Linked DNA regions of Callithrix jacchus. The protein of the gene in region 1 interacts with the protein of each later gene in a biochemical or structural test. Links are inferred from orthologs where the notes say so. Each region holds a gene or a part of one and is shown in the gene's direction. Other genes may lie near its edges.

The links.
Region 2: the proteins of MDC1 (region 1) and TOPBP1 are reported together in a solved structure, tested with the Homo sapiens proteins (3 studies listed by BioGRID, with this or other methods). The link is inferred for Callithrix jacchus from reciprocal best matches to the Homo sapiens genes MDC1 and TOPBP1.
Region 3: the proteins of MDC1 (region 1) and H2AX form a complex in vitro, tested with the Homo sapiens proteins (5 studies listed by BioGRID and IntAct, with this or other methods). The link is inferred for Callithrix jacchus from reciprocal best matches to the Homo sapiens genes MDC1 and H2AX.

The regions. Positions count from the first base shown.
Region 1 is NC_133505.1:35,502,524-35,507,239, reverse strand, and holds part of MDC1 (mediator of DNA damage checkpoint protein 1), read left to right. Parts: intron 1-3,227; coding exon 3,228-4,019; intron 4,020-4,126; coding exon 4,127-4,194; intron 4,195-4,716. UniProt on the Homo sapiens protein: Histone reader protein required for checkpoint-mediated cell cycle arrest in response to DNA damage within both the S phase and G2/M phases of the cell cycle.
Region 2 is NC_133518.1:50,475,145-50,479,960, forward strand, and holds the start of TOPBP1 (DNA topoisomerase 2-binding protein 1), read left to right. Parts: upstream 1-1,203; 5' UTR 1,204-1,265; coding exon 1,266-1,415; intron 1,416-4,816. Other genes in the region: serotransferrin-like, read right to left, coding at 1,035-1,077. UniProt on the Homo sapiens protein: Scaffold protein that acts as a key protein-protein adapter in DNA replication and DNA repair. Composed of multiple BRCT domains, which specifically recognize and bind phosphorylated proteins, bringing proteins together into functional combinations.
Region 3 is NC_133511.1:18,752,644-18,757,185, reverse strand, and holds H2AX (histone H2AX), read left to right. Parts: upstream 1-1,563; 5' UTR 1,564-1,639; coding exon 1,640-2,071; 3' UTR 2,072-3,152; downstream 3,153-4,542. Other genes in the region: HMBS (porphobilinogen deaminase), read right to left, coding at 3,717-3,890, 3,975-4,061, 4,181-4,234, 4,472-4,542. UniProt on the Homo sapiens protein: Variant histone H2A which replaces conventional H2A in a subset of nucleosomes. Nucleosomes wrap and compact DNA into chromatin, limiting DNA accessibility to the cellular machineries which require DNA as a template.

The DNA.
Region 1 (4,716 bases):
AAAAATGAAAAAATTAGCCCAGCATGGTAGTGAGCACCTTAGTCCAAGCTATGTGGGAGGCCAGGATGGGAGGATCATTTGAGCCCACCCTGGGTTTCCCTCAACCCCCACCCCCAATATCTGTTAAAAACACACACACATACACACACACACACTGTTGCAGCACTATTCACAATAGTCAAGATATGAAATCAGACTAAATGTCCATCAACAGATGACTGAATAAAGAAAATGTAGGCCAGGCACAGTGGCTCATGCCTGTAATCCCAGCACTTTGAGAGGCCAAGGTGGGTGGATCACCTGAGTTCAGGAGTTTGAGACCAGCCTGGCCAACATAGTGAAACTCTGTCTCTACTGAAAATACAAAAATTAGCTGGGCATGGTGGCAGGTGCCTATAGTCCCAGCTACTCAGAAAGCTAAGGCAGGAAAATCACTTGAACCCCAGAGTCAGAGATTGCAGTGAGCCAAGATCGTGCCATTGCACTCCAGTATGGGCAACAATATGAGACTTCATCTCAAAACAAAAAGAAAATGTATGTATAGGCTGGGTGTGATGGCTTAAAATACAAAAATTAGTTGGGCATGGTGGTGTGCACCTGCCTTGTGCACCTGAGATAGGAGGCTCCAGGAATCCCTCCCAGTCCCTCCCAGCTGGGACTACTCAGGAGCTGAGGTAGGAGGATTCCTGGAGCCTTGATGCAGAGGTTCCAGTGAGCTGAGATCACACTACTGCACTCCAACCTGGGCAACAGAGTAAGACTCAATGTCAAAAAAAAAGAAAATGTGTATACATACGCAATGGAACAGTGTTCGGCCACAAAAGAGAATGAAATCCTGTCATCTGCAGCAATGTGGATGAGCCCTGAGGACATTATGTTAAGTGAAATAAGTCAGCACAGAAAGGCAAATAGTGCATGCTCATTCATATGTGGGAGCTAAAAACATGAAACATGGATCTCATGGAAGTAGAGAGTAGAATGGTGGTTACTAAAGGCTGAGAATGGTAGAGGGATAGGACACATAAAAAGATTGGTTAATGGATACAAAAATACAGTCAGGGCTGGGCACAGTGGCTCACACCTATAGTCCCAGCACTTTGGAAGGCTGAATCGGGTGGATCATGAGGTCAGGAGTTCATATGGTGAAACCGCATCTCTACTAAAATACAAAAATTAGCCGCCTGTAATCCTAGCTACTTAGGAGGCTGAGGCAGGAAAATTGCTCAAACCCAGGAGGTGGAGGTTGCAGTGAGCCAAGCCCATGCCACTGCACTCCAGTCTAGACAACAGAGCAAGACTCTGTCTCAAAAAAAAGATACAGTCAATTGAATGAATAAGTTCTAGTTCCACAGTAGGGTTACTATAGTTAATAATTTATTGTATATTTCAAAATAGCTGGAAGAGATTTGGTATGTTTCCAATACAAAGAAATGATAAATGTTTGAGATAGTGGATATCCCAGTTGTCTTGGTTTTATCATTGTACGTTGTATGCACAGGTCAAAATAATACAGGTACCCCATAAAAATGTACAATTATAGGGCTGAACGCAGTGGCTCACGCCATTAGTCCCAGGGGGGCCTGAGGCAGGTGGATCACAAGTTCAGGAGTTCCAGACCAGCCTGGCCAACATGGTGAAACCCCATCTCCACTAAAAATACAAAAAATTAGCCAGGCATAGTGGCAGCTAATTACAGGAAGTACTACTTCCTATAATTCCAGCTACTCAGGAGACTGAGGCAAAAGAATTGCTTGAACCTGGGAGGCAGAGGTTGCAGTGAGCTGAGATCACACCACTGCACTCCAGCCTGGGTGACAGTGTGAGACTCTGTCAAAAAAAAAAAAAAAAAAAAAAAGATTATTATGTGTCAACGAAAAGAAAATGTGGTATATATACACAATGGAATACTATTCAACCTTTAAAAAGAGGGGAATTCCAGCCGGGCATGGTGGCTCATGCCTATAATCCCAGCACTTTGGAAGGCCAAGGTGGGCGGATCACGAGATCAAGAGATCAAGACCATCCCAGCCAACATGGTGAAACCCCGTCTCTACTAAAAGTACAAAAAATTAGCCAGGCGTGGTGATGCGTGCCTGTTGTTCCAGCTACTCGGGAGGCTGAGTCAGGAAAACCGCTTGAAACCAGAAAACAGAAGTTGCAGTGAGCTGGGATCGCATCACTGCACTTCAGCCTGGTGATAGAGCGAGACTATGTCTCAAAAATACAAAAAATTAGCCAGGCACAGTGGCACATGCTATAGTCCCAGCTACTGTGGAGGCTAAGGCGGGAGGATCTCCTGAGCCGAACAGCTGGAAGTTGCAGTGAGCCATGATCATGCCACTGTACTCCAGCCTGGGTGACAGAGTGAGACTCTGTCTCAAAAAAAAAGAGAGGAAGAGATTACTCAGGGAACTCTCATATTAAGCTATGATGTTTCTCTTTTTTCATTTCTTTTTTTTTGAGACAAAGTCTCTCTGTCACTCAGGCTGGAGTGCAGTGGTATGATCATAGCTCACTACAGTCTTGACCTCCGGGGTTCAAGTGGTCCTCCTAACTCCCAGGTAGCTGAGACTACAGGACTACAGGTACCCGCCACCACGCCTGGCTAATTTTTTGTAGAAATAGGGTTTTGCCATGTTGTCCAGGCCAGTCTTGAAATCATGACCTCAAGCAGTCCTCATGTCTTTGTCTCCCAAAGTGCTGGGATTACAGATCAAACTAGCATACCCACCCAAGGCTATGACCTTTTTGAGAGAAACAGCGAAGAGCAGTGGCTCACACCTGTAATCCCAGCACTTTGGGAAACCAAGGCAGGCGGATCACGAGGTCGGGAGATCGAGACCATCCTGGTTAACACAGTGAAACTGTCTCTACTGAAAATACAAAAAACTAGCCGGGCATGATAACATGTACCTGTAGTCCCAGCTACTTGGGAGGCTGAGGCAGGAGAATTGCTTGAACCTGGGCAGCAGAGGTTGCAGTGAGCCAAGATTGCACCACTGCACTCCAGCCTGGGCGACAGAGTGAGACTCCGTCTCAAATAATAATAATAAGTTATAGCTACCACCCTTATTCCCAGCTTTGTTTTAATTACCTGTTTAGATTTATTATTCATGAGTTTATCTTAATCCTTTCTCAATGTATTTATTATTTCAACCTGTACCTCTCTTTCCCTCCTCCTCTCCTTCTCCTTCTCTTTCTTTCTTTTTCTCTCTTTTTACTTCCAGGTAGCCTAGATGAACCATGGGAGGTCCTGGCTACACAGCCATTCTGTCTGAGAGAGTCCAAGGACTCTGAGACCCAGCCTTTTGACACCTACCTTGAGGCCTGTGGATCTTGCCTGTCTCCACCTAGGGCAATACCAGGAGACCAACATCCAGAGAGCCCAGTCCACACAGAGCCAATGGGGATTCAAGGCAGAGAGATGCAGACTATGGATAAAGATATGGGTATACCAAAAGAAACAACAGAGAGGATGGCCCCTGAGAGAGTGCCATTGGAGAGGGAAACTGAGAAACTGATGCCAGAAAGACAGACAGATGTAACAGGAGAGGAAGAATTAACCAGGGGCATGCAGGACAGAGAACAAAAACAGTTGTTAGCTAGAGACAGTCAGAGACAAGAATCTGGCAAAAAGGGGGAAAGTGCAAGTCCTAAAAGAAATAGGGAGAGTTCAAAGGTAGAAATTCAGACATCTGAGGAAATACAGGAGAAAGAAGTAGAGAAGCAGACCCTTCCAAGCAAAACATTTGAGAGAGACGTAGAGAGACCAGTAGCAGACAGAGAGTGTGAGCCAGCTGAGTTAGAAGGGAAGGTGCCCAAAGTGATCCTGGAGAGAGGCACACAGAGGGGGGAGCCAGAGGGAGGGAGCCGGGACCAGAAAGGGCAGGCCTCCAGCCCAACACCAGAGCCTGGGGTGGGGGCGAGGGACTTTCCAGAACCTGCCTCAGCCCCCATACCTTCTGGGAGCCAGTCAGGTGAAAGGGGATCCCCAGTGAGCCCCAGGAGGCATCAGAAAGGTAAGTGAAGGCGGAGGGGAACCCAAGATGGTACACAGGCTTCATGATAACCCCTGAGCAACCAACTGCTTGGAACTCAGCCACCTTTGTGTTTACTTTCTGTCTAGGCCTGAATTGCAAGATGCCACCTGCTAAGAAGGCTTCCAGGATCAGAGCTGCTAAGAAAGCTTCCAGGGTGAGAGCTGCCTTTTCTACCTCCTCCTACTCCACAAGTCTTCTCTATATCCTCTCAATTCTCCCTCACCTAGCCTCACTTTAATCTATTCCTTTCTTATTATTCAGTTTTCTTCCATTTTCATCACTCCTTGAATGGCTTTTGTTCCTTTATCTTTGGCACCCGTTGTTTTCCATAACTGTTTCCCAAGTTGTATCTTCTATCTGACTCAAAAGAAAGACCCTTTTTTCTTGTTTCTTCTTTCTTTGCCCCAGCCATCCTTTTCATTACCATCCTCCATGTGTGGAGAACACTATAGTAGCATTATGGAGACAGGTCTGTGGGAAAAAGGTAGCTTCCCAGGTAGTTCCCAGTCTAATGGAAGAGAGATCATCATCAGAAAGGGAAATCCAGTGAGCATATCTTTTTTTTTTTTTTTTTTTTTGAGACAGTCTCACTCTGTCACCCAGGCTGGAGTGCAGTGGTGGGATCTTGGCCAGGCTGGTCTCTAACTCCTAACCTCAGGTGATCCACCTGCCTCAG
Region 2 (4,816 bases), on another chromosome or scaffold:
CCTGGCTGCCGAAACTGCCTATTGTAACCTAAGACCAGTTTTAGTTAGCACCTACTGAAACCTCGTTTTACCTGCTGCAGCCCCTCAACAATCAGGACTTGCCAGTTCCCCAAAACTTTACTTGTGCCAATGAACTTTCTGGAAGAACATTTCTCCTTTTCTATGGAACCTCCAATCTTCTCTTTGTTCTTTGGACATATGGAGGACCATCCAGTCTGTGTACGTGCCTGGAATTTCAATTCTTATTCCCACATAAAATGTTTTAAACTTAGAGATATTTGACTTGGACAAACCTGAAAGCTGCCCTAGATGATATTTAACTGAGTGAGCATGACTGCATTCTAATAAAATTTTATTTATGGACACTGAAATTTGAATTTTATGTAAATTTCATGTCACATAATATTGCTCTTTTGATTTCCCCTTCAACTTTTTTGACAAAGTCTCATTCTGTTGTCTAGGCTGGAGTGCAGTGGCATGATCTCCACTCACTGTAACCTCCGCCCCCCTGATTCAAGTGATTCTCATGCCTCAGCCTCCCGAGTAGCTGGGATTACAGTCGCACACCACCACACCCAGCTAATTTTTGTATTTTCAGTAGAGACGAGGTTTCACCACGTTGGCCAGGCTAGTCTGGAACTCCTGACCTGAGATGATACACTACCTCGGCCTCCCAAAGTGTTGGGATTACAGGCCTGAGCCACCGCGCCCGGCCTGTCCCCTTCAACCATTTAAAGATGTGAAAAGCATGCTTGGCTCAGGCAGCTGTGTACAACACCAAGCCACAGACAGGATTTGGCCAGCTAGTCGCAGTCTACAACCCTCTCCCTAGTTAATGGAGTTTCTGCGAGGACCAAAGTGTCAGGTGCGCCCTAGTGGAGAAAGCACTTTTAGGGGCTCATCGCAGCCCCGCAGGCCCGCTTGTCCGGTCGTAGCGCAGGCTCCCGCTGTGACCGACCCGCTGCTGGCACCCAGTGCCTCCCCGCTGCACCCAGCAGGGCCGGCCCCCACCTCCGCTCCCGGCGCCCACTCACCCAGGGCTCCAGCGCACGGCAGGGCGCAGAGGGCCAGCCTCATTCTCCGCGGCCGGCGCGCGTCACCAGCCCCGCTCTCGCGCCTCGTCAGGCTTTACCCCGCTGGAGCAAGCAGCGCCTCCTGGGAAAGGTTCGCCCGCCAGGGCTGATAGCCCTCGCCACTCCTCCCACTCCTCCCCCGGGGCAGCCAGCGAGCAGCCCGTGCCCTCCGCGGGACCGAAGGGCTGCAAGATGCCAGCCCCTCTCCAGTCCCCTGCCCAGCGCCCGGGTCTGCGAGGTTGCATCTCCGGCGAGGGGGCCGCACCTCAGAGCCTGAGCAGTTTCGAAGCTCGCTGGTCTGGCCACCTTACAACCCAGAGACAGATCCGCCGGGGGTCCCAGGTGAGTTGCCAGTACACAGGTTTCTGACCCCCGGACCCTCACCTAGCCCAGCAATTCCTAAACATTTCAAAAACACCAAATCCTCGGGATTCCGGTGCAGTACATAGGGTGGAAACTGTGGGCCCTTCCCCCTGGAAGCGGGGAACGTTTTGAACACAATTGTCAGGGATTCTCAGACTCTCTCCCAAAGGGTTTCCACTGGGAGAATGGACTACTCCTGTGTCCTCTCAAAAACTCGACCCAAATGACACTGTCCTCAGCAGCCCTTTGCTCTGGAAGGCCGAGGTCAGGTGAAGCCCCAGAGAGGGCTGCCTCTCCTCACCCCTGTAGCCCCATCCTGCTCAGGTCTGTGACTTCTGCCTGGAGAAAATCTGAATTTAAATGAAATTTTAAGAACTTTTAAAGTATAATAAATGTACATAAAATATCACATATGCTAAATAAATGTACAGCTTAATTATCATCAAATGAACACAACCACATAACCAGCGCCTCCATCAAGAAACAGAACATTAACAGCTGACTTTCACTCACTTCCCATTCTCCCTCCCACAAAGGTACCCATTATCTTGACCTCTAACACATAGACTAATTCTGTTGATTTCTGAGCTTTATACAGATGGAATCATACCATGCATACAATTTTGTGTTTGGCTTCTTTCACTGGAGAGTCTGTGTGAGATTCACCTATGCTGTGTATAGCTGCCCTGCATTCATTCCCGGTGTTGCAGATTCTACACTGTGTATGCAGCACATTTTGTCTTTCCTCCTGATGGCTGTAGTCTTCAGTTTGGGCTCTTATGGAGACTGCTGCTGTGAATATAATTTTAATTTCATTTTCTATCTGTTGCTGGCATCTGCAGAAAAAAAACAATTGGTTTTTGTATATTGACCTTGAATCCAATGATCTTGCTGAATTGTCTTATTAGTTGGAATTGCTTCTTTTCTATTTACATCCTTATGTCTTACATGAATAATAACGGTTTTGCTTTTTCCTTTCACATCCTTAGGAGTCTTTTTTCTCTTGACTTACTGCACTAACTAGAACTTACATTACATTCTACTACACGTCTTTTAGTGCACTTAGGTATGCATTACTGCAGGGTTTCCCCATATATCATGAAGCAGATGTATGTTCAGCTTTAACAGATACTGCCAAACTGTTAATACAATATTCAGTAAAAGTGGTGATAGGGAAAGTTTTCAATACTTCTCCATTATGCAAACATTTTGCTGGTGTTTTGTTTTGTTTTAAATATTATTAACCATTATCAGGGATCTTTCCTTCCTTCCTGGGTTGCTGATTTTTTTTTTTAAATCATGAATGGATGTTGCATTTTGTTGAGTATTTTTTCTGCACCTAAGGTAATCATATGATTCCCTTTTCTTTTTATGCTAATGTGGTGAACTTCTGTAATTCTCTTTCTTTCATTCCTTTTCCTGTTTTTTTTCCTCCCTCCCTCCCTCCCTCCCTCCCTCCCTCCCTCCCTCTCTCCCTCTCTCCCTCCCTCCCTTCTTTCTTCCCTCCCTCTCTCCCTGCCTCTTTCTTTTTTTCTCTCTCTCTCTCTTTCTTTCTCTTTCTTCTTGCTTAATGGGGTCTTGCTCTATTGCCCAGGCTGGAGTACAGTTGTGGGATCGTAGTTCACTGAAGGCTCCACCTCCTAGGCTCAAGTGATCCTCCCTCCTCAGTCTCCCAAGTAGCTGGAGCTGCAGGTGTGCACCACCACGCTTGGGCTCCTTTAATTGATTTTTGTTGTTGTTTTCTTTTTTTGTTTTTTCCTTTAATTGATTTTTAAAGGTTAATCTACTCTTACATTCCTGGAATAAATCCCACCTGGCTATTATGTATAACATTTTTTACATATTGCTGATCTTGATTACTTTTTTTAAGGATTTTTTGCATTTGTGTTGATGAGAGAAATTATTCTGCAGTTTTCTTTATCTTAATGTCCGTAAAAGTTTGGTTTCAAGGTTATAACGGCTCATAAAATGAACTGAAATATGCTACTTCTTTTCTTATTCTCTGGAAGATACTGTGTAAGAATAGAGTTCTTTATTTCTTAAACGTTTGGAAGGCTTCACCAGTTAAGTCATCTGTGTTTAGAGTTTTACTTGTGGAAAAGTTTTTCATAACAGATTGAGCTAGAGAAATATCCAGATTCTATGGTTCTTCAAGCTTCAATGCTGGTGAGTTTTGTTTTTTTAAGAAATGTGTCAATTTTATCAAAATTTCAAATTTATTGATATAAAACCATTCATAACCTTATCCTTTGACATTTTTAGTATGTGGAGGATCTCTCTTTTTATTGTTGATATTGGTGATTTATGTTTACTATGTTACTACTTTTCTACTTTTCCTTGATTAGTATTGCCAGGATTTTATCTATATCATTAATTTTCTCAGAGAATCAACCTTGGCTTTGCTGATTTTCTCTACTGGACATTCATTTATCATTTCATTGATTTCTGCTCTGTTGACTTTCTCCCTCTCTCTCTCTCTTTCTCTCTCTGTCTCTCTCTCTCTTTCTTTTTTTTTCTTTTTCAGACTCTCACTCTATTGCCCAGATTGCAGCCCTCTGCAACCTCTTCCTCCCAGGTTCAAGTTATTCTCCTGCCTCAGCCTCCTCAGTAACTGGGATTACAAGCATGAGCCATAGCACCCAGCGAATTGTTTTTTGTTTATTTGTTTTAGGTGAGATGGGACTTTACTGTGTTGTCCAGGCTGGTCTCGAACACCTGGCCTCAAGTGATCTGCCCACTTTGGCTTCCCAAAGTGTTGCAATTACAGATATGAGCCACCATGTCTGGCTTCTCTTTTTTTTTTTTTTTTTTTTTTTTGCTGTTGTTTGTTTGTTTGTTTTTTTAAAGGCAGTTAAAAAACAGGAAACTCATATACTTGATATATTTATTGAAGCCTCTTCAAAGTGTGGCATTATCTTTATCTTTTTCTTTTTTTTTTTGAGATGGAGTTTTGCTCTGTTGTCAGGCTGAAGTGCAGTGGTGTGATCTCGGCTCGCTGCAACCTCCGACTCTCAGGTTCAAGGGATTCTCCAGCCTTGGCCTCCTGAGTAGCTGGGACTACAGGCTCCTGCCACCATGCCCGGCTAATTTTTTTGTATTTTTAGTAGAGATGGGGGCTTCACCATATTGTCCAGGATGATCTCAATCTCCTGACCTTGTGATCTGCCCACCTCTGCCTCCCAAAGTGCTGCGATTACAGGCTTGAGACACCGCGCCTGGCCAGTATTATCTTTTTCTCTCCCATTCCATGGAACTTCAAATTGTGCCCAGTATGTTAAGGAGAAAACTGGCCCTTTGTCAAACTTAGTTCTCTGCTTCTCCCTTCTCACTGGGATCTTGCCTCCACTTCTGTTTTTCCAGCCCCGAGACTGCCATCAGCT
Region 3 (4,542 bases), on another chromosome or scaffold:
GGCTAGGGACACAGGCTCCAAGGTGACATGTCATTTGATTGTAAATTAAGTGTTCTGATTAGTAAGAGCTGAGCAGGGGGCTACATGCTCCCAATGGAGACAATAAAGTGTTGTCTTTTTCTTATTGTTCCTGTAGGTATATTTCCTATATGGGCATTTTTGGGTAGATTGAGAGGGTTGGTGAGAGTACTTCCACCAACAGGATGCCTATCTCTCTCCCTTGCATAATCTGATACGGTGGTTCTGATAGCAGTAAGCAGCAGAGCCAGAAACAGATCTGAGGTTGACTCCACTTCAGTGCTCTTCCTATTAATTAGCCATGGAGGAGGGTTCAAATAGTGGCCTCCTCTCTCCTTTCTTCTAGCAAGAAATGAACAGAACTGAGACCAAACAGAACATGTTGAATAAATATTGAAATCCTGGCTAGGCATGGTGGCTCACGCCTGTAATCCCAGCACTTTGGGAGGCTGAGGCAGATGGATCACGACGTCAGGAGTTTGAGACCAGCCTGGCCAATATGGTGAAACCCTGTCTCTACGAAAAATACAAAAATTAGCCCAATGTGGGGGTGTGTGCCTGCAGTCCCAACTACTCTGGAGGCTGAGGCAGGAGAATTGCTTGAACCTGGGAGGCAGATGTTACAGTGAGCCAAGATGTGCCACTGACTCCAGCCTGGGCAACAGAGCCAGACTCTGTCTCAAAAACAAAATAAAAGAACTCCTGATACTTCAGGAGGGCCAAAAGATTAAAGTTACCCTGTTTCGTGGAATGGGATCACACTTTCAGAGTCACTGGGTGTGGTGGCTCACACCTGTAATCCCAACACTAGCAGGCAGAGGCAAGAGGATTGCTTAAGCCCCAATTCAAGACAGCCTGGGCAACAAAACGAGACTCTGTCTCTACAAAAATAAAATAATTAGCCAAGTATGGTGGGGCGCGATTGGAGTACCAGCTACTAGGGAGGTTGACCAGGGAAGATCCCTTGAGCCCAGGAGTTCGAGGCTGCAGTGAGCCGAGATCACACCACTGCCCTCCCGCCTGGGTGACAGAGCGAGACCCGGTCTATTTAAAAAAAAAGAAAGAAAGAAAAGAACGTTAAGGGTCTAATTTCCCTTTCTCCCTTTGCCAGGTAGGAGAAGGGTATAGAGAGTGACCTGGCCTGGAAAGGGAGGCAGCGGTAGCTGTAGTATTGACCCCTGTCCTTTAAAATTCCTATTCCAGCACAATTTCCCAGAAGTTTTCTAGGTGGCCTCAGACTCCACCCCTTCTGTCTTCAGCTTCTGGTTTCCGACTGTACCGTTTAAATCTCGCGCGCTTTACAATGATTGGCTACGTTCGCGGGTGGTTGGCCGTCTGCCCGCTACCCCTCCTTTTCGCCTTTTCTCCCCGGGCAAAAGGTTTTCAAATTTAACCAATCGACGGGCGCGCTACCTCAGCAGAGGCGCGACACCCAAGGGTTAATCGCAACCAATCGGAGGAGGGTACTGGAGAAAAGGGCCAATCAGGAGGGTGCGGAGGTGTGTCCTGGGGGCCTATAAAAACGGCCTCTCGGCGCGCGCGCGCGACAGCAGTTGGACTGCGGAGAGTGTTTGTCCTGGTGTCTCTGAGCCGTTGAGCTTCGCCGGTCTACCTCGCTAGCATGTCGGGCCGCGGCAAGACTGGCGGCAAGGCCCGCGCCAAAGCCAAGTCGCGCTCGTCGCGCGCCGGCCTCCAGTTCCCCGTGGGCCGCGTACACCGGCTGCTGCGGAAGGGCCACTACGCCGAGCGCGTTGGCGCCGGCGCTCCAGTGTACCTGGCGGCAGTGCTGGAGTACCTCACCGCTGAGATCCTGGAGCTGGCGGGCAATGCGGCCCGCGACAACAAGAAGACGCGGATCATCCCCCGCCACCTGCAGCTGGCCATTCGCAACGACGAGGAGCTCAACAAACTGCTGGGCGGCGTAACTATCGCCCAGGGAGGCGTTCTGCCCAACATCCAGGCCGTGCTGCTGCCCAAGAAGACCAGCGCCACCGTGGGGCCGAAGGCGCCCTCAGGCGGCAAGAAGGCCACCCAGGCCTCCCAGGAGTACTAAGAGGGCCCGCGTCGCGGCCGGCCGCCAGGCCTCCCCATGCCACCACAAAGGCCCTTTTAAGGGCCACCACCGCCCTCACGGAAAGAGCTGAGCCACTTCAGACTGCGGAGCAAGCGGGCCGCGGCTCCCGCCTCCCTGCCCCTCCCCTCGCCCACCGCCCGTCCTGGAGTCCCCGTCCGCCCCCACTCGTGGCCCGCGCCCCCTGCCGCGTCGGCCTCGGGCCCTGCCACGTCCGCCGGCCGCTCTCCGGCAGGGCTCGAGCGGTCCGGAAACGGCTAGGGCGCTCTGCGGGGACCGCCGTGGCGCGGAGGACCCGAGCCTGCCGGGGGGAGACCGGCGACGCCGCACCTGCCCGCCTCGGCGCTCGTGACTCAGCCGCCCGATCCTGAGTCGCCGAGGGGCTGCGGGGAGGCCGCAGCACCTTCTGGAAGACTTGGCCTTCCGCTCTGACGCAGGGCCGAGGTGGGCAGCCCAGGCCCAGAGGCCGGCGGCCCTGAAGGTGAGTCCGTCCCTCGGCAGCTGCAGCCGGGGCGTCTGGTCCTCCCCCGTCGTGGTGCTTAGCCCAGGACTTTGAGACGTGGCCGCTGGCCTGGAGGCTTTGGTGGGAGAGATGGGCTCGCTGATATCCGTCTGGCGCCCCCTCTGCGGCCAGGACTCAGGCCTTTCACGTCAGCTCTCCATCTTCATTCATAGGTCTGCGCTGGGGCCGGGACGAAACACCTGGTAACAGGCACATCTTCCTCCCGAGTGACTGCCTCCTAGGAGGACATTTGGGGGAGGGTGGAGGCCTGCAGTTTGGCTTCACGGCTGGCTATGTGGACAGCGAGAGTCGTTTTCGCGGAAGCCAACTGGCAGCCAGGCCTGTCGGGCCTCCCCACGCTGCCCCATGTCCCTTCCAGCAAACTCGACTCGGCAATCCAAGCACCTAGATACCAGCACAAGTCGGTTAATCCCTGTCTGGACTGAGCCTCTGTTGGCTTTCGAACTGGAATTTTGCAGCTAACCCTTCCAACACTAGAACCTGAGGCATTGGGGAGTTTTAGATGGACTAATTTTATTAAAGGATTGTTTCTTTTTTAAATGGAGCGTTTGTATTCATTCTGCAAGAGGGTTGTAGAATTAGTGACTTTGTACACCTTCCCGAGACAGTGGGGGTGGGAAGGGTATGCAATATAAATAGGCTCTACTGTTATAGAGAAGGGACAAACCATAGCAATTTAAGATTATGGCTGTTTCTCAGTGTTTCTGGGAGACAATTTATTCTGTGTGAAATGAAAACTATTTAGGCAGAAGCAGAAAGGATGTTCCAGGAGAACTTTGGGCAAAAGTCCCAGCCTCAGAAGTAAGGATGAAAGGGCTTTGTTCATATCTTCCTGCCCACCCCACGAAAGAAAAACAACAAAAAGCACCTTCAGAGCGGTTTATTAGTAGAACTGGTTACATTCAAAGGCTGTGGCTTGGATTTCTCTAAAGAGATGAAGCCCTCACATACTGAGGAGGCAAGGCAGTCATCAGGGGCTCATAGTGAGGCAAATCCCTGGAAGGCTTGGACCCTGCTGTTCAGTCTCCTGGGGTAATTGCTCCCCAGCTAGCATGACAATGGGCACTGGACAGCAGCAACCCAGGCATCTGCCCCACAGACCAGTTAATGGGCATCATTAAGCTGCCGTGCAATATCCAGGATGTTTTTGGCTCCTTTGCTCAGCAACAAGTTGGCCAGGCTGATGCCCAAGTTCTGGGCAGCCAACTGGGGTCCTCGTGGAATGTTCCGAGCAGTGATGCCTACTAGCTGTGGGTCATCCTCAGGGCCATCTTCATGCTGTATGAGTGGAGGTGGGATTTGGTGAGAACAAGAGAGATTACATGCACTCTTATTACCCCCCTCACCCTTCAGCTTTGGTACCTGGGCAGGGACATGGATTGTAGCCTGCATGGTGTCCTGTATGCTATCTGAGCCATCTAGACTCCAGACTCCTCCAGTCAGGTACAGCTGGGGAAGAAAACAGTTGCCTCAATACAGTATGAGAGGAGACTGCTTAGAAGCCTGGATGCACAGGAAGAAATGCCACAGTCCCTTCCCTGCCTTTCCACCAATTTTCCACTGCTTACTTGCCCATCCTTCATAGCTGTATGCACAGCTACTGGCACACTGCAGCCTCCTTCCTGCAATGAGAAGTTGCTATGAGCTCCAAGGGCTCTTAATACCACCCTGTGACCACAGACCTAAGGACACCACTGAAAAGGCAACTGTGAGCCCGTACCTGGTCCTCTCAATACACAACATTCAACAAGAATGAGTTAGCACTATATACAAAGCATTCATGTGAGAAATCTCCCCACCACCCTTCCCAGCTCTCCAAGTCCCCAGCCCTCCACAGGCTGAGCACAGGTCGTACCTACCAGGTGCCTCAGGAAGGCCCTTTCAGCGATGCAGCGAAGCAGAGTTTCAGGATCATGCAGTACACCCACCA